Linked DNA regions of Caenorhabditis elegans. The protein of the gene in region 3 interacts with the protein of the main gene of each other region in a pairwise test. Each region holds a gene or a part of one and is shown on either strand. Other genes may lie near its edges.

Region 1 (7,851 bases), on a different chromosome or scaffold from region 3:
TTATTTTGAAAATTTTTTTAAATGTTTCAATTTTTCTTAAAACTTTTCTAAAAAGTTCATAATTCGTTAATTTGCCCGTTTGAGTATTAACCGGTACATTGCGAAAATTTTAAATCTTTGATAAAAAAACACGCCCTTAAACACATTTCAAACTATTTTTTGACAGTCAAAGTTTTCTTGAAGTTGAAAAATAGTGATAATTTATTTTTTCATAGTTTCGATGGGGCACTTAGTGGGCGGAGCCTATAAAGCCTTGCCCATGTTATAGGCGAAGTTGGAGACCCTTCACTGTGGCCATTCTGTGGAAAATTGAACAATTAATTCTTCAAATTAGTTGGGCGCGGCTATCAAATTTTGAAAAAAAAATTGAAAAAAATTACTGTTTCAAAGTCACATGTTATACTGTAGCATTATGTGGTTGCTATTCCTGTTACTAATTTCAATTGAAATATTTTGTTCTTTTCAATTTCTGGTCATTATGAAAGATAATAGACAGACAAAACAAAAAGAAGGTCCTTCTAATCTAGAAAAATACGACAAAAAAGAGAACATTGAGCCTTGTCAGCAAAGAAGTAAGGGAGAGGCGAGAATGGGAAAATGCGATTTAGGAGAGAAGGAGAAATTATACAATTATTTCAGAAAAGAAGAAGCACAAAAAGAGTGAGACAGACACAAAATGGGGGTGCAGATGGCAAAAAACAACACCAATCTCTGTACAGGAAGAATGAGGAAATGGAACAAAGTTTTTTGTCGGCGGCGCGGGATTTCTCGAATTTTAAATGGGTATTCGGATGTAAAATGATGAGAAAGAGAAAGAAGAACGGAAATTCAATTTACGCATCCGATGAAAATAACAATTTTCAAATTTTGGTTATAGTATTAATGGGTGCCCAGACAATTTTGAGGCTAATTTTTTTATACAGTGTCATGAATTGTAGAACTTTCGTCTGAAATTTCTTTTAAAAATTTGAAAAAATTCAAAAAAACAGGCTCCGCCTTTCTTCCACTTATCTTTTTTTCGATGGATTTTTTCGACTTTTTTTGTACTTTTTTTTAAACATATTTCTGCAATGCCGTGGAGTTAACTGTATATTTTCCGCTAAATCCATTTAATGAAAAATAGTTTTTACATTTTTAAGAACAGTGTGATTACAGTAGTGGTTTTGTACACTTGTTGCGAACTAATTTAGCGTTTAAGGGAATAAAATACCTATTCTTAATTTAAAACATTTCAAAGCATATCCATTAATGCTGTGCTGCTTGGCATTTTAAGAAAAAAATGAAACCGAAAAAAAATTAAACACGGATTCATGAAAATCGATTCTCATGTCGTTTTTTTTTTTGAAAAACTCAAGCAAATTTCTACAATTTCACTCAACGAAAATTTATTAAAAAATTATATTTGTTCCAGTGACGTCATGAAGAACACTATCTAGCGCACGGCACTTTTTGAGCGGAGCCTATGGTTCCCAAGAGGTCCCGCTCCAACAACTTTGTGCAACATTTATAGACCCCGGGAAAAATTTGAATTAAGGGGTAATCCTTTTTTCATTTTTATTTTCATAATTGTGAGCGGATTGTTGGTAAAGCTGCTGTGAAATAGGCGGCTCAAATCGTTAAAGTCAAATTTTAAAAATATTTGAAAGATTTGGAGAAGAAAGTCAATATTCTACCCGCGACGTTTTTTTTGTTTGAAGAACCACTAAACATAAATATGCCCTAGCGTTAAGGAAGTCTATCAAAACTATCAATACTATAGTATACTGTAGTTACAAGGATATTGAAACAGTTAAAGATTTACATCACTAAAACTAATTTCATATCACTTTTGCAGTATCTTGTTTCAACTTAGTATTTATGATTTCTCATTTTTATTATTTAGACTGGTAAGCAGAGAGAAAAAAGCTGGGAATTAGGAAAAAGTAACAACATGAGCAGAGGAAGAAGAAGAGCAACAAGAGCATTAGACAGAATTAGTGATGATGTAGAAGGTACAAGATGAAAAATAGCAAAAAAATAAGTAGAGAATAAAATCAAAACTTTTTCATTTTTCGGTTTTTGGACTACTTTAGAAACTGTAAACAGAGGAAACAGTGGTTTTGTTGGACGTTAAAAACATTTGAATATTTCACATTTAAAATTCCGTTGCAATCAGTTTGAATTTAAAATACATTTAATTTCTAGCTATGTTGAAACTGTGAAATTTTCGGAAAATGCGAAAAAAATGTGACGGATTTTTAAATATTTTATCTAAATCTTCACCGGATAATTTTGGAAATAATACGTTTAGAGGTCGAGCATGATCCCGATTAAAATTAATTAATTGTTAACTGTTTTATGGACTATTTGAAACGTGTTCAATTTGAAAAATGGCATTCATTCTTTCCATCAAACTCATAGTTATTTTTCAGATCTGAAAAAATATCAGAGCCTATTTATCTCGATTGAAAACATTTCTGCCTTTTATAGCTTGATTTTAAGGGTTTGTTGAAACAGTGATATTTTTTTGAAAATAAATGAAAACATTTTCTTGAGTAAGACCTCTCCAGCTATCTTTGGATACTGAATAAATCAGATCTCATACACCAAAAAGCCGATAACTAAAAATATAAATATTATTTCCAGAAGTTTATCACGGAGAATCTTCGATTCCTGACATTAAAATCGAAAGCATTTTCCATTAAAAACTAATATTTTTGCACTCTTCACCTTCTTCCGGCATGTAATCCTATATTACAGACATCCAAGGTAAAAGAGAAAAAACTTGATTTCCTTTTTTCCCTTTTTCTCCAGAAACGTCTTCCAATGTCGTCTTCTTCCTGGACACATTATGCTAATTTATTCGATTTGTGCCATGGTTAATGTATTAGGAAGAAGGAAGAGCATTACGCTATGAACAAAACGCTTTTTTTCGCCACGTGATTTGCGGTTTTGCAGGAGATGGGGGATTCTATTGTTGAAACTAACAAATCCTGAAACTCATAAAATTTTAGTGAATTCATGAATCTGTAAAAATTCTGAATTCTAACAATAATGAAAAGACTTTACAGAGATAAATAAAAACCGAATGAAACATTTAAAATCAGTCAAACAAATGTTTTCTATGAAACAGGAAATTTAATTCTAAAAAAAAAAAAGGATTTTTTTACTCGTACAGTCCAAAGTACTGTAACTGTTCTTAAAATTGACCCCAATTGTAATTTAATATCAATTTGTCCACTATATTTGCTACCTTCTCTTCCAAATCATGAAAGTGACCTCTGACTATATATCACCCCAGTTTGTCACCAACCATCTGGCAAGTAGCGGCAGCCGGCTTATCTGTTATGTCGGAAGATGTGCTTCTTCTCCGACTTGTTAAGATATCTGACACCTAGGATTGTATATTTCCCCCAAATGACCTTCGACAGTACCCGAGAAGTTATAAACAATTTGTGCTCCACCCAAAGTTTGGAATAGAAAATCCTATAGTCACTTTCTGACACTCTCTGACTTTATTCCTCCCAGCTTCCAAATTACAAAATGGAAAAATGCGATATTTGTCACCAGAAGTTTTCCAATAAGGTGAGTGGAGAGTACTAAAGGTTATAGGTAGAAACTAAAGTGCCTACCAGGTTACTTATGGTTTCGTAAACTACTTTCTTGTTTGGCTCTTGAAAAACTGAGACGCAAGACTCAAATCTTTAGAAAATTTCTTTTTAATTATCAATTTACAACATTGTTCAAATCGAAAAGCAACAAAAAACAAGTTACTAAAATCGTAGAAAAATTTTGATTTCCATGTATATTTTTTCAGACAAACTTGAATCGTCATAAGGTGATGCACAGTGGAAAAAAGAAGTTTGAATGTCAGTTCTGCAGAAGACCTTTTTTTCGGAATGATCGGGTTAGTTCTTGTGGTTTTCCGATAAATTTGTATAGAGGATATTTTATTGAAGTTTCTTTATAAAGTTTAGTCGTTTTAGTACAAGCTTTATCTCTAGTGACCAAAAAAATTCACTAAGTAACCTACTTTACGAAAGTTAATTACTTGAAATTATTCCAAACGCTTACAAATAACTCGATTTTTTTGTCGAAACGTTAAAAAAAATGCTAGAAAAAAGCTTCCTAAAAGTTGACTCAATTTATCACTCGTACATCAGATTTAAAGCAGAATGAAACAATCTGTGTTATTGATTTTCAGAAATTGACACAAAAATTTTAATTATGTGTTTCATGATGTTTTTAATAATCACTGAATGCAATTTACGATTACTGGTATCTGTGATTTGCGAATCTGTTCAAAAATAAATGTTTAATGCCAAAGCACTAAAAAATTAAAAGAGAATTAGCACCCAGCATGCCAAATGATGTAGGGGAATTATTTTTCTGTGGATGTGTACTGATACGTTGGCTTTAATTTACTGTTAGCTAGAGAAAATTTAAAAGCTTTGTTTTAAATATTTTTATTGAAAACAAAGTTAAGATTGTTAAAAGTCGTTTACTTTTTCCAGATCTGACCATCAGTTTTTTATATGAAAGTTTCAGTTATGCAAGAAAAGTTGTATTTTCAAATATACTTTGAGAAAGATCGAGCTTTCTAGTAGTATAAAGCATTAAGCATTATTTCTTGAAACATTAAACAGATTAGAAAACAATCTCTTCAACTTTTAATCCAACTCAGATGAAAGAGCACATGATGACCCATATCAAGAAAGGAAATACCTTTGAATGTCCCATCACAGCGTGCAATTCAAAGTTCAACAGCTTCACGAGTTTGCAGTTTCATGTAGATTCGGAGCATATCATAAGAGGATCGTCTCCAGCTAAATGTAAATCTTGCATCAAATGGTTCAACAGTTCCCATCGTCTTCTGCTTCATTTTCATACTGCACACCTGGATCATACGGTGAGTACTTTTTTCTGTGGAAGAATTGAAGCACACACTGTTTTTATTTGGATTTTACATCAGCTACTTGCTTACGAGTAGGTTATAGCTGTGATGTGTTAAGTTTAGCCTACGTTTGATCCGATTCTTGCCGAATGTTGACTAAACTTTTCATTTGAGACTAAAAGTAAAATTTTGAAAACCGTTGGGTCTTGCAATCGAAAATACTTGAAAGCTTCAAAACATTAGAAAAATTGATCTAAAATAGAATTCACTATACTCGAACTTCTCCACATAATTGAATTGAATTTCAAAATACTTTTTCGCTATTTCTACAAAATCTCTACTAAAGTCAGACGTGCACTATGTATAGATTGGATTTTGGTAGATATATATAAATCTCCTTAGTTTTCAGAAATTCTTCTCTTTCAAACCTGCTCCAATTCTTCCAAAATCCACTACTTCAATCTTGAACCCCATCAAGAATCCAGATGATTTTGATAGAATCTTTGACTTTTTCAAAACTGAAATCGCACCACTCTTTGTAAGAAATTTGAAATTGAATTTTCAACTGGTAACATAATATTTTCAGCCGCTTCATAGCACTGTTTCACAAGCCCCATTGCCACAGTGCTCTAGATCTGTAAAATCCGCAAAAGAGTTGTCTCCAACACCATCTACGGAAATCGAAACTCCCGAAGAAGAAGAGTTGGATGGTCCAGAGAGCTGGGTATGTACCTCTGGGAAAAAACGTATTTTGTAAAAAAACAATTATTTCAGTACTGCGATTACTGTAAAATCAGATTCGATGACAAAGTGATGTGGTATTTGCACAGTGGACTCCACTCAGATGATATTCCGTTCAAATGCTCACTTTGTGGAAGCCTATGCGATGGAAAATATGATTTTGCTGCTCATCTCGTTTACGCCAATCATAACTTCTAAAATATAAAAATGTCGATTCTTTTTCAAAGTTATAGCATGGTTCAATTTATTGTTAAGTACCAGCATCAATCTTATCAATAATGTTCCTCATCTTCTGTTGGGATGTTTTAAAATACTTAACTCTGTTCTTGTGTGAATTAATTGTTACATTTGTTTCTGTTAATTGTTTTATATATTTGAAAGTTAGAAATATGATTTTCTCAATTATGGTAGTTGATTTTATTTCTGAAAACTTCAAAAGATTTACTAAAAATTATTGATATGCGAATTTTGCAAAAGTTATGCTGATTATTTTTATCTTCAGGAGAGCAGTTTTAAGGAGGAAATGCCAAGAGTTTTAGATTAAGAAATTTCAAATTTCTACCAACAGATTTTAAAACATTACTCCTGATTTTAGGACAATGAAGATTTTCGCATTTTAAAAGCCTAATTAAAAAAAAACGGCGAGATCAATTTTTCTAGTATAAAATGCTCCTCTGAAGATAATTTTCACAAAGTGTCCAATTAAAAAAGTCATCTCTAGGAGTGATAACACTTTGAATTTCCGAGATTTATTGAAAACTTTATTACATCTCCAACATTAATAATAAAACAAATTAAGAAAAAAGTATTTTACAGTTTTCTAAAGTTTGATGTATTTATAGAGTTTTGCTCTTGAAATATTATTCACAATTTTGCCTCTTTTATAAAAATATCAACAAAAAAATTCTCAAAATTCTCAAGCTAATATCCCATCTGAGACATGAAAAAAGTGATCTTAAGCACGATTCGATTGTCTCCAAACCCTTTGTTCATCATTTTCGTTCAATTATAATAGTACACATACAGTAGGAGGTAGTGGCGAAATAAGGCAATCGAGAGGAAGGATCACAAGTGTGCAAACGATGCTCTCAACTCGGGTGCTCAAATTCGCACATCTCGAGTGTCTGCGTCTCTTCATCTCGCACGCTCTTTCGGCGCTTCTCTTACCAAATACAGTGCTTGAGGTGCGAAATATAGAGAACATAGACGTCTTCTTCTTCTTGTCTTTATTTTGGGCTCCCGGGTAGCTCCTCCTATTTTCAATTGTTTCTGTTTCACTCATTGAATTTCAATAATAATAATAAGTTCCGTTTTCACCGGATCTCAAACTCTCTTCTTAAAATGAGAATTAATTTATTTTTCGTTTTTGCCGTGTTAGGTCAGCAATTTCAAGTCACTTTTACATATTTTTGGAACGAAGAACCAGTTGTCAGAGAGAGGTGAGTTTATTTTGATTAAAAATGATCAATTTTCAAATAATTTCACTAAATATCAAATTGTTGAAACTGTACATTTTGTATTTAGGTTTTTTTGAATGAGTAACATTTTTAAAAAGTTTATGCGAGTGTCACTTTTTTTCCATGTTTTCAAAGAAAATCAACGAACTTGAGAAACCCTCCTTTCAAGAGCAATTTCAAATTTTCAGTGCATCTGTGCATCCCCTACTATTTTTCAAAAATTACAATAATAATATGGATATCTTGAAAGAAAAAATTCAAACTCAAAAAATTTTCCATAATTAATTGATACAACTAAACTTTCTAGTTGATTCTTAACACAGAGCACCTGACTGCTGACACATAATAACGAAAGAAAGTTAAAGCATGTGATATATCACATAGTGAATAACTAGATATATAAAATTCTTGATACTGTGCATTTTTATTAATTTTTTCTCTCTTTTTTTGAGATGATTTCAAATAATTTCAAATAATTCAAAGATTTCAAATATTAAAACTACTTAATGCTTTTAGTCTTGTCGAACAAAGAATTTTCAAATATGTATCAATTATTTAGATAACTGATAAATAACATATATTATTTAAGAAACAGAAAAAAATTTGTTGAGTAGATTTTATCATAGAAACAATTTCAAATTTACAGAGCATCTCCTTCTCCAAATGGAAATACTCCGTCTAACTTGGGATGTTTCATGTGCACTCAATTATTGTCAGTTACAAAACATCGAGTTGGTCTATCGGAGAATCAATTGAGAAATCAATTATATGAGAAATGTC
Region 2 (8,504 bases), 7.7 Mb from region 3:
TTTTTTCAGAGCATCCAATGTCCGGAAAAAGAATGGAAAACAGAAAGTGGCTTCATCGTTTCTTGCATTGAACCAATGAAAAAGTGGAGAATACAGTTCAATGGAAAATTAGCTTCAGCACCGGGGAAAATCAATTTTATTGTGAGTTTTTTGGAGTTTCCTATGTTTTACAAAGTATTGTCAATTTTCAGAAAAACGGATCCGAGGAGATGAAGGATGGCATAAAGATTTTTGACGCAAATTTCGACCTGACTTGGACGAATTTCGGTTTGTGAATTTAACGGTTCTAGTGAAATTCGTTTCAAAAAGTCAATCTTCATGTTGTCCACGTGGAGAACACGGATAAATATTCTTAAGAGCTGGTTAGCACTTCCTAGGGAATGTAATCTACCGCAGAGCGAACGTTCTGGAAAGGGGGCAAGCAATTTAGGGTTATGTCCTGAAATTCAATGTCAATTGTTTGTGCACACCTCCTACAGAGAAAATATTTTTTCTTCCGCGATAGCCAAAATTCAAAGAATCTTTTCCGCGGGTGAGCTTCGCGGTAAGTGTCCTGCTTTTTTGGTGACTACAAGAAATCTTCGATGGCGCCACCCACGCTTTTGTGAAATCTCAAGCCTCGCCCGCTTATTGGCCTCGCACGTCTTTTTACTTTATTTTCTATTTCCAGGAAATCAATTCGATTTCGACAAGATGTGCTCCCCCACTGCAATTGCTCATTCTTTAGCAATTGAGCCATGGAGCCGTGGACTCTTCGATAAAATGCGAGCATCCCATCAGTCACACTATGAACAATTTGGAACGATTTCTGGAGATTTTCGAATTGGAAATCACACTGCTTCTGGAATTCGAATGACGAGCATGAGAGATCACACGATTGCTGGATACCGCAGATGGTCAGACATTCGAAGGTAAAGTGGAACTTGTTTGCATCGTAGATTGACTAAATTTCCAGATATATCATGATGATTTACCATTTGGAAGATGGTACATGTGTTCATACTTCGGTTATTTCAATGCCAGAAACTGTTTTTAGTCACCTTGAATTTGGATATATTGTTACACCGTGGGTTGATGCATCTACGCTCCAAGAAAACACATAAAATGGCTCAACAGGGCGCATTTGAATTTTTCTGCGAGAGACACCACACATTCACAGCGTTTTGAAACCGTGGAATTCAATTCACGGAATATGTCAAAAAGTGACAATTACTCAGTTTTTCCACTTATAATTTTCGAAGTCACCCCAAAAAATTGTTTTTTTATCACATTTTTTAATACTTTAATTTTGTTTTAACTATTCGTATTAACACATTGTAGGGGTATGCAACATTGCTTTAGATTTTCTCAATAGCTCCTATTTTTCAATATTTTGGCAATTTGCGAAAGCTTACGAAAAATATAAACATTTTTGGAGTGTTTTATTATGATTTTTCGTCGTTTTGGATCATTATAAGTGTCCTTTAAGTCGTTTCGAGACCGAGTACCGTATTCTCGCAAAAGATTCTAGTAATTTCCTTAATGGGCAGAACCTAAATTTTTTTTTTCAGAACTGGTGAGACGAAGCCAGTGGATCGTGTACACTTCTCCCTTCCAAACCACGGAGAGGATCGTCATTTCCCTGATGATTTCCACTACTCGTTCGAAGTTGACGGCAAGATTCATCACGCAGATGTTCATATCAAGGAAGCCGTCTCATTCAAAATGGGATTGGATCAAGCATGTCAGGTCACCGAAGGAATGAGCGAATTCGTTGTCGACGGAAAGCCGGGATGGGGATTCGCGGAAGTCGAGTATCGTATTCAGCCGTATTAAAAAATTATCAAATTCAGATTTTCTACCTTTTCCACTTACTTTATAAAACCGTTTCATATGCTACTAACAAATGTGGGGTCAACGTGCAGAACAGAGCAACAGTAAAATGTACAAAAAATAATAAAACACTGGGAGGGGATAACAAGTTCCGAAGAACTAAAAACATGAGACAACAAAACATTTAGAACGAGAAAACAAAAACAAAAGAACAGAGATTGTAGCAGCTACGTAGCAGAAGTTGAAGCCCTTTTGTCAACCTCATCCAGTAGATAGTTCACCGTTTCTTGGACACTTTTGTCAATTGGAGTCTGTAAAACCAAATATTTCAAGTTTTCAAATTGTTCAGTTCTCTTACCCGAACAATATACTTTGTGCACGATTTGAAGCGAAGATATAGTCCCTTGCGAGGAGACTGCACCTCCAGAGGCTTCTCCTTTCTCGGGCGGCCTCTTTTGCGAACAAGGCTTGCCGTCGTGTCCTTCTTCGGCTGAACTTGCTCTATTTCGGGCTGCTTCTTCTTCATCACCGGAATCACTGCAGTCCTGGGAAGCGAGTAGGGAGTTTTGAGAGTTGGTGGACGAAGAATCCTCGGAGTTGTGATATTTGACCAGCGGAGAACGGTATTCTTGGGTGGTGGTTGATCTTGCAGATTTTGGGAAGACGTGGATGCTGTTGTGAAGTTTGTGAGTGGATGATGTCTTTTCTCATCTTCATCATTCTTCTTTTTCTCCACTGCAGTTTCTACTGGTTGCGTAGTGGGTGGTCTTCCAACCGGTCTTGCTGCTGAGGAAGAAGGACCATCAGAACCTTCCCTATTACGAGCCATCGATGCCTGATTAACTGAGTAGAACTGAGTGAGTACATGTGGAGCTCGCATGGTCTGCCCACAAAACTTCTCGGATCCGAAAGAAGACTTCAGGGAGGTCAGTTCGTTTCTCTGAAAAAAGTTAGATTAAATCTTCTTTGTTCTTTGAAACTTACCGAAACACCAACACGATCAGCACACTTTGGAATGATAGACATATTGGCAATCTCAATACATCTACGAACCGTCGCACTGCAAAATCCGGTCATCTGAGCCGACACCTCGTCCGGTTTCTGCCAAACAGTTCCAGCAGCTCGATCGCCGAGTCGTTTCGCGTATTCTCGATTCCAAATTGCTGTTCTAGCTACCATGACGCGTGTCTGATCGCAAAGATGAGCACGGATGGCAATAACGGTAGAATCGTCGACGAATCGGAAGGAGCTCATATCCACAGGCTTTTGAATTTCGGCGCAACGATAACATCTTCCATTGACTCCTTTGACGAAGGCGGGGGCCTGAATTTTGAAAATTGTTCGTTGTAGGTCTCGCCACAAATAATTTGATTTTGTAAAGTACTAGCCAGTGGCAAAATTTTAGGAAGAACTACGGTCGCACCACGAACAATTATCTCCAATCATCCCGGCGCAAAAATGTAAGCGCCTTTTAGAACTACAGTAACCCTTCTCCTCTTCTTTTCAATGTCGCTGAACTTTCTTATTTTTCGCCAAGATTTTTTTAATTTATTGAGAGAAACTGGAGTTGGGTTACTGTAGTTCTTCAAAAAATTTACCATTTTGTGCAACCATTAGATGAAAATATTTTTTGCTTATGATGAAAACAGGGAATGAAATAATATAATTATTGGATGAAAAACACTAGTAATTGCTGAAAAGTTTTTTTGTTAATGATAATGCAGGAAAATTCGAAATATTGAAGTTCCACTTTAGGGTTTTCCAAAAATATATAATTTACCGCCATATTCGAGTAGAACGTCATAGGAGTTTTATGATTATATGCAGGAATTTGGACACTTTTTGGAGCCACGGTACTGTTTTTGGCTTTTGGACGGAAGTTATTCGCTTGTCTGATCACGGCGTTTTTCGTCATCTCCAGAGCTACTTTTTTACGTTCCATTATCGATTTGGAGAGTGGAAGGATTGGAATTGCGCTCGCCGAAATTTTGGTTCGTAGAAGCTGTGATGGATTGATTTCCTCCAATCTGGAAAATTTGCTTTTTAGCAGGACTTATTAAACAAATTGTCATTATTTTGGAAGTCAAGGTTTTCAAAAACCCGAAATTCAACTTACTCAATTCGTTTTCCGACTCTTTCCGTATGTTCACTTCCAAGCGTTGCGTCTTCCTCGAGAATTTTCCCTTCACTTGGTTCGCTTACAGACTCCCGAGTACTTCCACTTTGTCGCTCGAGAATTGGCGGCGGTGTGACAGCTCGCTGGTACCGAGATCGCAGAAATTCCTCCTCATCAGAATCATAACTGTTTCGGAAGATATCTGAAGAGAAAATGAGCTTTAAAAAATCAAATTTTCATGGAAAATACCTCTTTTGGTTCGATTCGACTCAAATCTGGATATCAGAGATCGCTGTGGTGGAAGATCTGGTGGGCGTGTAGGGTCGGCCATAATTTTAATTCTGAAGACGGGTGATTGTTTTGTTTAATAAAAAACTTTTTAAAAACTAACGCTTCCTCCTCTTCGTCGAATCCAACAACGTCCACATCCTCATCAGAGTCTGTAAGCACTATTGGCTTAGATACAACAGGATTCGGATTTTTTGGAGAATTTTGTGCCTTTTCGAGTGTTACTTGTTGGTTATTAACAACTAACGGGGACTTCGACTTGTCTGTATTCTGAGAACGAATGACGTAGACTTCTGAAAACAATATTTTTATTTAACAGAGGACCATTTGCAAACAAACTTCTTCGTGGCAAATTTGGATCCGTAGCTTTTTTAACTGGCTTTGGTGGAGGTGGGAGACAGGAATCTCCGAATGAAGCCCATCCAATATGAGCTTTAGGTTCATAATTACTAGAAGATGCCGGTGGTGAATCAGTTTCGTCGTCGTCGTCGACTATCAGAAGATCATCGACGCTCAACGTTTTCTGGGATGTGGAAGGTTCATCATCTTTAGCAGTTTGCGGTTTTGGATCAACTTTTGGAAACTTGACCGCTGCTCGTTCTTCTTCATTCATAAAAGCAAATGACATTGGGGATATTGGTGGAAAAGCTGCGGGTGCAGGCTCTGTCGTCATGGAATTGTCTAGATTGGCAACAATGGGTTCAGAAGACATCCTGGAAACAAAAAATATGGAGATAAAATTTTTAAATTTAAATTTAAACTGTTTTTATTTACCAGAAAACTAGAAAATCCCAATGAGAAAGAAGGGAAATTAATAGAAAAATAAAGTTTTAAAAATACCTAAATTTTCTACAGTACCCGAGGTCTCGCGAAGATTTTGGTCCGCAGTACGCAAACACTCTTATGCTTGTTTACCGTAACCACTGAAATATTTTTTCGTTGTTTTTCTTTATTTAAAAAAAGTTATCTATTTTTCGAAATTTATTGAAAATTTCACATTTCAAAACCGTCAATAATTCTTTTAAAATTCATTTTTCGCAATATGGATTTTCTTCAAATGTTAAACCAGAGTTTTCTTGTAATTCCTTGAACAAATCACATTTTTAAATCACATAACCATTTTCGTTTCTGGAAATCTTCACTTTGAAGTTGAATTCTTGTTAGATTATATTTGTTTAACTCTGAAAAATAGTTAAAATGTGTGTTTTTATATGTTTTGTTTCAGATTTCCCCTGCTTTGTTTTCCTTTCCTAGACTAAGTTTTTAAATTTCGATCAATCCTTTTTCTTCATTTTACCCTCTCAAAACCATTTATTTACTCACTTGAGAGACGCAGAGAAACCATCGATGGCCTAGATGTCTCGTCTCGCCTCCTTCTCGGCCACGCGCGCCTATCTATCGATGTTTTTCTGCCTGTTCGCTCCGTTTTCTTTTTCGAATCTTGACCGCTTCGCATGCCTGTTCCGTTGCGGTTTCTGAAGCGTTTCGGTTGCGTCGCGGTTCCCGGCTCCGCCCTACTACCCGTTCGAGTCTCCCACGGTCTGTAGCACGTCTATCACCTATGTGAATGAGTGTGTACGATCATCTTCTTGCCAATCGGGTTATTGGGTTCAATGGATCGTAGATTGATATGAAACTCGAATTCGGGAAGGAATCGCCACGCAACGCAGCTAGAAATGCTTGAGAAACTTGCGAGAATTTGAGAAGAAAATAAATTTCAGAATTATTATTAAAAATTTCCAATGAGCGACCGACGGCGGCACGGAACAGAGGATTATCAAATCGCCGGTCTCAAGCATTCAATGACAAGTAAATCGATATTCATAGATTCAGAATTTCCAATAATTTTTCCAGGTGTCGCCTCAAGCTCCCACGGTGGTGCTGGAGACCTCCAACAACAATTTTCCAGGGAAGATCCACCCGTAAAAACTACGCAATACACACTTGTAAGCTGGAAAACGTTTAAAATTCAAAATTTTCAAATTTTCAGCTTCAACTAATCAATATGGTTCGAGAAAATCCGATTCTCTACGATGAGGAGATGCAAGCCGCCACGCCGGATGCTCAGTTGAAGGTTCAGAAACGAGAAGCATGGGATCGGATACGTGCTGATATAGTTTGGCAGGACATCACTCTTGTTCAGGAAGTCTGGTCGGATCTTCTCGATCAATATGCTAGAAAATCGATTGATATGTCCGATGGACTAATTGAGGCAATGCGATGGACAGATTCATTGATTTTTAAGAAGAAATGTAAGAGTTTCTTGCAAAGAAATACACCAAAATCATTTATATTTTCAGCAGACTCTCGACCTCCTTCACAGCTCACCGCAATGTCCTCCGGACTGGATAAGGATTTCTATAATGACGTTCCGCTGGCAGAAGATGTATTAGAACCCGGACAAAGTCTCGGAAATTCTGAATCCATGAAGTTCGATTATGTGGTTATTCAGCCTCATGTTAGGCCACATCAACAAATTCCCACATCTTCATATTCCCGTCGAAAATCACCACAATCAAGAGAAACAGAGGCAATTGTTCGAACTTATCCATTATCGCCGAAGCGGATAGTGGTAAGTGCAAAAACGATGAAGTAATTACTACTCAGACCCTAATTTTTCCGATTTTTGCTGACTATGAGATAACCGGTCTCGTCACAACAATTTTTGTTAAATACGACAAGATGCGCGCCTTTAAGGAATACTGTAATTCCAAACTTTTGTTGCTACGGAATTTTCATCGATTTTCATAGCTTTTCAACAAAAATTTGAAATTACAGTACTCTTTAAAGACGCACACTTTATTGTATTTAACAAAAATTAGTCATGTCGAGACCTGGTACCGTATGTTTGGCGCAAAAATCGCAAATTTCACGTCTGGGTAATAGCAAAGGCAAGCATTCAAAAACCCCTTACCGGCCTCGCTTGCGGTGATGCACGGGTGGCCTACTGGCTAACACTCTCGTCTGCAAAGCAACAGTCCACAAGTTCGACCCCGCTTCATGGTGCATTACACTTTGTAACTTGCATTGTGTGCGCGACTAATGAAGCAATACCAATATCTGCAGTATCTGCTCATTCGCCGTGTTGTAGTTGATGAGCTCGTAGTCCGATAACAATTTTTTGATTTTTTTTCATTCCAGCAACAGCATCGTATGCCACAGAAGAATAATCCAGACCAACAACATCAAATGAATGAAGTCAAAAAGGAAGTTAATCCGTTTGGACGACAAGGTGTATTGGTGGAGGTGGAACCATCACCCTCCTATGCTCAATCGAATACGAAAATTTACAAAATGGTCTCCGCGCATAGAAGTGCAACGCCGCAACCTGCAGTTACAGTGGCTTCATCTAGAAGATTGGTACATATGGTAGGAAAAAATAATTTATTTAAATAAGAATTAAATTTTCAGCCTCACCGAACAAACTCCCTGGTTTATGATTCGATGCCAGAACTTATAGATTCGTGAGTTTTTTTTTTACTTCTTAAACTTCACTTAATAAAACATTTCAGTTCAAATATGCCATCGGAACCACCAAAAAAGAAAATACACTTGGAAGTGGGTCATCGAAATAGTGAAATGGTCGGTGTATCAACCTCATCAAATGCCCCGTGTCTACCCAAAGAAATTCTAACCGATGGAGTCCCAATTGCCGACGATGAGATTATTTTAGAAGCTGATGGAGAGTGTAAAATAGGTTCTGGAATGCTTCTGGAATCTCAACAATCAAGTTCACAAAATCATGAAATGGATATGCCATCAACTTCAATGGATCATTATCATCATCAAGATATTGGTAATTTTTCGCTGGAAAAATATGAATATTGAATGAATTTTCAGATGATGGGGGTGTTGGAGATGATATTGAGCAGCAAGTGGTGGTTGGAGGACCTTCTGATGAAATGGCGATACAATATGATGAAGATCTCGCATTTCAACAACATATCAATAGTGTCTTGAACAGGTTATCTGATGATGAGGTAATTTTTGGTTTTTAACAAAATTTACGCGGAAGAGTTTTAAAAATTCGATTTTTCATTAATAAATTGGAGTTTTATACAAAAATTCGAATTTGGATATAAAAAATTTTTTATAGGAAGAAATGTCATTTGCTTACAAAATTTAAATTTTGAGAAAAAACATTGAAAATTGTGGACAAAAATCGAATTTCTCAGAAAAAAGTGAAATTTTCCAAAAAGAAAAAAATACAAGCAAACTTGAAATAATCCTGGATTCAAGTCTTGAGTTACACAGGAAAAATTGTTTTAAAAAATGAGCTAAAACAAAA
Region 3 (6,203 bases):
AGATCTCAGAGCGAATTCGTCGGCTTCTTGTCTGGTAACTTTGTATTGTGCGCCCAACTTCTCTGCAGTCTGTCCCATGGCTAACTTGGCATACGGATCGCTGAGAGAATCCCAGAGCATATCTTCGAATTCGTACTTCTTTCCAAGTGCAGTTCCGAAACGAATATCTCGAACAGCGAATGGCACCATTGACATGTTTTCGGTTCCTCCGGCAAGAACAATGTTGGACTCGCCGAGCTTGATAGCTTGAGCTGCATTCACGACTGCTTGGAATCCCGAACCACAGAGACGGTTGACAGTGAGGGCCCCGACGTTTTGTGGAACTCCAGATTTGAGTCCAATGTGACGACTCAGGTAAATTCCATCACGAGAGCTGGCAACCACGTTTCCTGAAATTAGAGGTTTTCTTTAAATCATTCTAAAAATAAAATCTTTCTACCAAAGATGACATGATCGACGGCATCTGCTCCAACATTAGCGTGCTTCAGCGCTGCTTGAGAAGCGACGACTCCCAAATCAGTTGCACTCAATCCTTTCAGCTTTCCACCAAAAGTTCCGAATGCTGTACGCTTGGCACCGACGATGAACACACCTGCAGACATAATATAAACATCACTGATCACTTATTAGTACAACGACCATGGACTTTGACCCCCACTCACATTTTCCTGCCATTTTGCAGTGTATTTGTGTGGTTCTGTAAATAAAAACGTTCTTATAAGTAGTAACAAATTATTAGGAAGAGGTGAAAAAACCTAAAAAAAAGGGCATTTAGAAAACTGCATAATTATTTTGAGAGGGGCTTTTGAACAAAAATAAAGTTTTTCGGTTGTTTGTTGGGCCGATAAGATAGGTAGAGAAGAGACGCAGAGACGAAAAAGAAGCAGAATGGCCGACTTTCGCGGTGTCTTTTTTATCATCATTCCCGCTACTTGTTCTCTGACCTAAAGGCTACATTCTACACTACAATAAGATACAAAATTGGGCCTGGAAACCACAAGGCAATATAATACAATTAATTTTCATCAATTTTATTAAACCAATCACAAAACAACGAGTGAAATACTAGCCAAGCAACGGGTGTAATTAAAAAACAAGTAGAGCAGATACAAAATGGTCTGCTTTAGACGGCGGATTTCTCGGCGACTGGAGCATCGGACGAGTGCAATGAAAGCTTGGCTTTCACAACCGAGCTGGTCTTCTTCTGGCAGCTCTCATGATCTTCGTAGCGGATCACATCGAACAGTGGCTTTGAGTGGTCCTTGGATGCGGCCATCAGCTTCTCCTTCAGCACAACTCTGAAATTCCAAAATTCAAGATAGAATTAAAAATAGACATGCATACCCAATCCTCATGTTGGTTTCATCATCGTTGCAATCCTTAGTCCAGACGCTGATCTTCGATCCTTTTCCTCTGACGTTGCACACCAACCCACAAATCGACTCCATGTCCTTTCCGAATTGCTCGCCGACCAAAGCCATGAGAATCTCCAGCCAAATAGCATCGACCATTTCGGGAGTCTTTCCCTTGTCAATGACGATGAGCCAGCGTCCTCCGTTCGAGTTTTCCGGAACCTCCCACATCGGCTGAATATCGTCACGGAAAACGTTGTAATCGCACAACGCGTTGAGGCCACTTGGTGGACGGATAGCATCGTAGAGAGCCCAGAACTCCGAGACGGTGTTGAAGGTGTACACCTTCTTCAGACGATCCTCCCAAGACTTGTTGCGCTCATCGTTCAAATACCACCACGTCCAGTTACGCTTCAGCGGATAAATGGGTGCCGTCGTTTGCTCCGTTTCAGTCATACCTGGAAGAACTCGATTAGTAAAATCAGTAAACAGAGAGAATAAATGAATGCAAATAAAAATGGGCACGTGGAACCAAAAAAGTGATGCAAAACGGCGAGAAACAGTTTTTTTGTGAATAATTTATAGTACTCAAACGATAATGAAAAAGGGAATGGCTCACCTTCTTTCTCCCCAGAGATTTTCAGCTTCTCAAATGCTATTTCAGAATCTGACATTTGCGCTTAAAATTTTCGCACCTCGACAACTGGCAAGGCAAAAACAGGACTGATCTGAGAAGCCGAGAACAACTGGGGAAAACGCCAACTAATCGTGCCCTAAATGACGTGCCATTGAAATATGGAGCGGGTCAGTAAAAAAATTCACGGGGAAAATAGGAAATGGTGGAATATAGTACAACAATTTTAAAAAGAGATTTAGAAATTATCGATGATGAATCAAGGTAAATACACAAATGAAGAAATAAAATGAGAACCCGTAGAAAAAAAAAGCGAAGAAAAACAATCTAGTTGTCGTAGTCATCGTCGGTTGGAGCCAAAGAGCCCTCTGATGGTCCTCCAAACATTTGTGCGTTTGCGGCTGCTACCGCCGCGGCTTGTGCTTGTTGGTGAGCAAGCTGCTGCTCAATTTCTTGTTGGCGTGCCTGTAAAATAAATATTAACATTGAGGAAATGAGTGTTTGTTTTATAAAAACAAAATTATTTTTGAAAACCTCAAAAAATTACCTTCTGAATTAATTCTTGTTGCATTTCGTACAATTTTTCCTCTGGAATACCACATTTTTCAAGACGAGAGTTCTTCCTTCGCAGCTTCTTCTCGGCTTCAACCTTGCAGGCATCGAGAACACTGTCGGCGGCCTCGAGATAATCTGGTGTGAATCCTAAATTCTGCAGTGCCTTCTGAACATGTTCGTGATATATTGTTTTTCTCTGATCCTGGCTCGCAATTCGTTGTGCTTCTCTCGCAATATGCTTCACGAACTCAACGCAGCAAGCATTGATCATATCTCTCGACTCGTTGGCGATTCGCATTTCAGGAACAACTTCTTTGATAATTTGGTTGATACCTTTCTGTGGAAGTCCGATTTCATTGTCCTCATCCATATCTGTGAAGAGTCTGAAAATTGTGTTGAAGCACTGCATTTTTAAGGGATCTAAAAGAGATATAAGGAATGAGAAATACATTATTAAAAGTTTAAAGATGAAATAAAATTAATATCAAACTGAGTACATTTATGCGAATATAAATATAATATTTTCGGAACAAATCTCACAAAATTCACAGAATTATCCAATTTTAGCATTGCTGAAGTCCATTTCAGGATGCTGTTTCATGAACTGTTGCAGCATATCATGCTTTTTCTTCTCATCAGACGTTGGAAGACCCATCTCCTTCTGCCTCTGATCATACATCATCTTTTCGACCATGGCACGTGTCTCTCCATCCAAGTCGCTCAATTTCGAGTTCTCTGGCTTCACTTCCTTAGTATTGATTGGAGGATCGGAATCAAGGAATCGATTCCACCATTCCATATCATTGATCTTCTCGAGAGTTAGGACAATCGCTTTCCCGTTTTCGATTACCCAGTTGCAATTTTCTACTTTAATGGCGTGAGGCAACTTTCCATCGACAATCGGAGCTTGATTCTTCAGGCCGACAGATACTGAAGTCTTCTCTATTTTGACGACAACGTCACGAGATTTGATAGCAAATCCAGCAGCAATTGGAATCTTCACCTCGAGTTCTTGGAGTGTTTGAGTCCATTGATATTTGGCAAGATCCGCACCATTTCCACTATTTGGTTTCATGAGCTTACTGTCCTCATCTTCGACTTCAGCGTCTTTCGATGTTTCTCCTTCGTTATCGACGAATTTTTCAAGATTTTCAACAGAATTTTTAGCCTGTTCCTTTTCAAACGCGGCCGCTTCCTCATCAGTGACTTCCACGACTTTCGCATTTCGGAACTCTTCCTCTTCCTTAGCTTTTTGTGCAGCTCTTCGTTCAGCAAGCTTCCTCTCCTGCTCTTCCTTCCGTTTCTTGGCTTCTTCAGCTTCCTTCATAGCCTTTCCACCGTGTTTATCGAATTTTTCGAGGAGAAGGGTCCGGGCTTGATCGACACCAGCGCCACTGTAGAAATCCGTCTTTCTGAAACAAAACATGTATTTATTAAGCACTTTGAAAAAATTTCTTACCTCGAAAGAAATTCAAATAGTACATCAAGCATTTCAGGCACTCCGCCGCTCAGCTGTTGGGCCATGGAGAGCAGCACCGAGTCGAATCGCTCATATTGAGACATTTTCTGAAATTTAAATATATTAATTAATAAAAACTACTTCCAAAACGAAGAAAAACATTAGGAAATCCGGAATTATTGAAAATAGAGCCTAAAATCAAGAAACATAGTTATTTCGCAATAATTACAGGACAAATTCTACTTAATCTAGTTAAAAACTTATTTTACAAACTAGAAAACCATTTATTTTGACAAATATCACTAGAAAAATTGAGTTATTTCGAAATTTCTGGTAAATCCTATTTTCGCCATGTTCCCATGGATACTGCAAGTGCCTGGGGAAAGCAGGTGGCTCATAATGCTCAATTATATTTCTGGGACAATGAGAATAGTTGAAAAATCAAAGAAAATCTGTGCGAAATCCCGCAAAATCGATAAATTAGGAGAGAAAATGTGTAAAATTGAAAATAAATTGCGAGCGCCGTTTTTTCTAGGCGCCTTGGCGCGGCGACTGGCGCAACTCTCGTGCTGACGCGAAACTCGATGCTACAGTAGTTTGATTTGAAATTTAAAAATTCAAATTTGAATTCAAAGTAATTTTCAGAAAAAAAAAGCAATAAGTTACCTAGTGCATTACTATTTCTCCCGTTAAAGAGAAAAACGGGTCTAATTGAAGAACAGATGGTGCTAATCAAAGAGAAAAATGCACACGCTTAGAAATTGGATTTTTCGAGACCTTTTCCATTTTGAAACTTTCTATTGATAATAAATCCAACTTAAATATTGATTAAGTTCACTTTTCCATTTACAAATTATTCCAAAAAAGACAGAAAAGCCATTACGTATGCTTAATTGCTTTTTTCTAATTAGACGTTCGACACTTCAGTACACGCTAGCATGGCTAATTAGATTGGAAACGAGGTCACCTCTCGTTTTTGTTTGTATGTCTGCGTTCATATTAGACTACGCATCGCGTTGAGAATCTAGTTAGAACACTATTTGTGTCTCCCTTTTTACGCGGCCTTTTTTTCTTTCTTGCAAAAAAATACGCATTTTATTTATGTTTAGTAGTTAACATAATTAAAATAGATGTTGACACACTTTTTTTAATAATAATTTAATAATAATTATTATTATTTTAAATACAGATAGAGTTTCAAATCAATTCACTAAATTTACCCTGTTTTATTGAAAAAAAAGCGGTGCGGCAGTGAGAGAGTATGTGGCGAAGAGACGGAGAGAAAGAGCATTCACTGCGAGACCTTGCGCGTCAAGTATGGCGAATTTCTCCATTTTCAAAACGTCTATGTAATATTAGTTTATAGGAACATTTAATGTAATAGAATATTGAAAAACAGAAGAAAGAAAACACCAGTAAACCGTTTTCGATAGACTATTTAAAAAGCTGATTGCATAGTTTCTCATTAATTTATTAGCTTCTTTTTTAAATTTAGTATGTACTGAAACTTGATTTTCTCGAAAAATCTAGATTATGTCAGAACCGGACCAGGGGGAGAGAATTTCCCCAACAGATGGTACACCCACTCAACGTGATTTCAACGAAACCAATGACTCTTACCCCTGCGGGACACATTCTCCTTTTCTTTCCGCGCAAATTTCCACATGGTCCGGTTGTAGTTGAAAATTGTAATATCTGAAAAAATTGAATACACTTTTTCGATATTCAATGATAATGTTCGTTTAGTTTATGTTTAATGTTTAGTTTAGCAGAGGTGCATTTTTCTACATATTGCTCAAAAATAAAATATCATAGATTTTACTGGAATTATATACAGTTTCATAATAATACTTAACCTATTTTTTAGGAGACAATGGCTTCCCGAGAAACTATTCTGGACGTTTTGGCAAAGTTGGAGGAGTGCAAAGAAACTTTGAATAATTCATTGAATTACGGTTGGTTTTTTTTGTATATTTTAATTTTTAATAGCGAATCTCAAAAAAATGATGTTCATTTTTTTAAATTAAAAAATTAATTCCTGTCAAATGAACAAAATATACCAAATAATTTTATTTTTAGCAAGAAATCTTTTGGCAAAAAACCAAAAAAAAAAAATAGTTTTTTGTCAAAAAAACCACAAACTCCTTTTTTGCTTAAAAAACAAAAAAAAATCCTTTTTTGCCAAAAAAAAATTAAACAAATT

Evidence for each region.
Region 1: the proteins of dro-1 (region 3) and ehn-3 interact in a two-hybrid assay, tested with the Caenorhabditis elegans proteins (one large-scale study listed by BioGRID).
Region 2: the proteins of dro-1 (region 3) and xnd-1 interact in a two-hybrid assay, tested with the Caenorhabditis elegans proteins (one large-scale study listed by BioGRID).

The regions. Positions count from the first base shown.
Region 1 is NC_003282.8:5,414,867-5,422,717, reverse strand, and holds ehn-3 (Zinc finger protein ehn-3), read left to right. Parts: upstream 1-3,495; 5' UTR 3,496-3,522; coding exon 3,523-3,564; intron 3,565-3,796; coding exon 3,797-3,886; intron 3,887-4,255; exon of another isoform or gene 4,256-4,276; intron 4,277-4,549; exon of another isoform or gene 4,550-4,570; intron 4,571-4,663; coding exon 4,664-4,888; intron 4,889-5,231; exon of another isoform or gene 5,232-5,252; intron 5,253-5,282; coding exon 5,283-5,411; intron 5,412-5,459; coding exon 5,460-5,597; intron 5,598-5,647; coding exon 5,648-5,812; 3' UTR 5,813-6,019; downstream 6,020-7,851. Other genes in the region: spp-7 (Saposin B-type domain-containing protein), read left to right, coding at 6,956-7,053, 7,718-7,851. UniProt on the Caenorhabditis elegans protein: Together with the zinc finger protein ztf-16, plays a role in gonadogenesis, specifically in somatic gonad precursor cell development. This is possibly by regulating tra-1 gene expression.
Region 2 is NC_003281.10:5,600,885-5,609,388, reverse strand, and holds xnd-1 (X chromosome NonDisjunction factor), read right to left. Parts: upstream 4,930-8,504; 5' UTR 4,929-4,929; coding exon 4,556-4,928; intron 4,510-4,555; coding exon 4,320-4,509; intron 4,270-4,319; coding exon 4,178-4,269; intron 4,131-4,177; coding exon 3,929-4,130; intron 3,840-3,928; coding exon 3,593-3,839; intron 3,136-3,592; coding exon 2,797-3,135; intron 2,753-2,796; coding exon 2,171-2,752; intron 2,124-2,170; coding exon 2,040-2,123; 3' UTR 1,833-2,039; downstream 1-1,832. Other genes in the region: C05D2.8 (DUF7064 domain-containing protein), read left to right, coding at 10-141, 192-267, 671-911, 956-1,066, 1,551-1,815; madf-11 (MADF domain-containing protein), read left to right, coding at 5,959-6,025, 6,071-6,162, 6,207-6,468, 6,517-6,788, 7,358-7,585, 7,628-7,680, 7,729-8,012, 8,057-8,196.
Region 3 is NC_003281.10:13,339,431-13,345,633, reverse strand, and holds dro-1 (Protein Dr1), read right to left. Parts: upstream 2,951-6,203; coding exon 2,534-2,950; intron 2,452-2,533; coding exon 2,314-2,451; 3' UTR 2,027-2,313; coding exon of another isoform or gene 1,972-2,026; 3' UTR 1,922-1,971; downstream 1-1,921. Other genes in the region: acaa-2 (3-ketoacyl-CoA thiolase, mitochondrial), read right to left, coding at 1-389, 440-592, 663-675; ife-1 (eIF-4F 25 kDa subunit), read right to left, coding at 1,124-1,298, 1,345-1,810, 1,972-2,026; nud-1 (Nuclear migration protein nudC), read right to left, coding at 3,095-3,953, 4,001-4,104; F53A2.3 (Phosphoprotein), read left to right, coding at 5,874-5,955.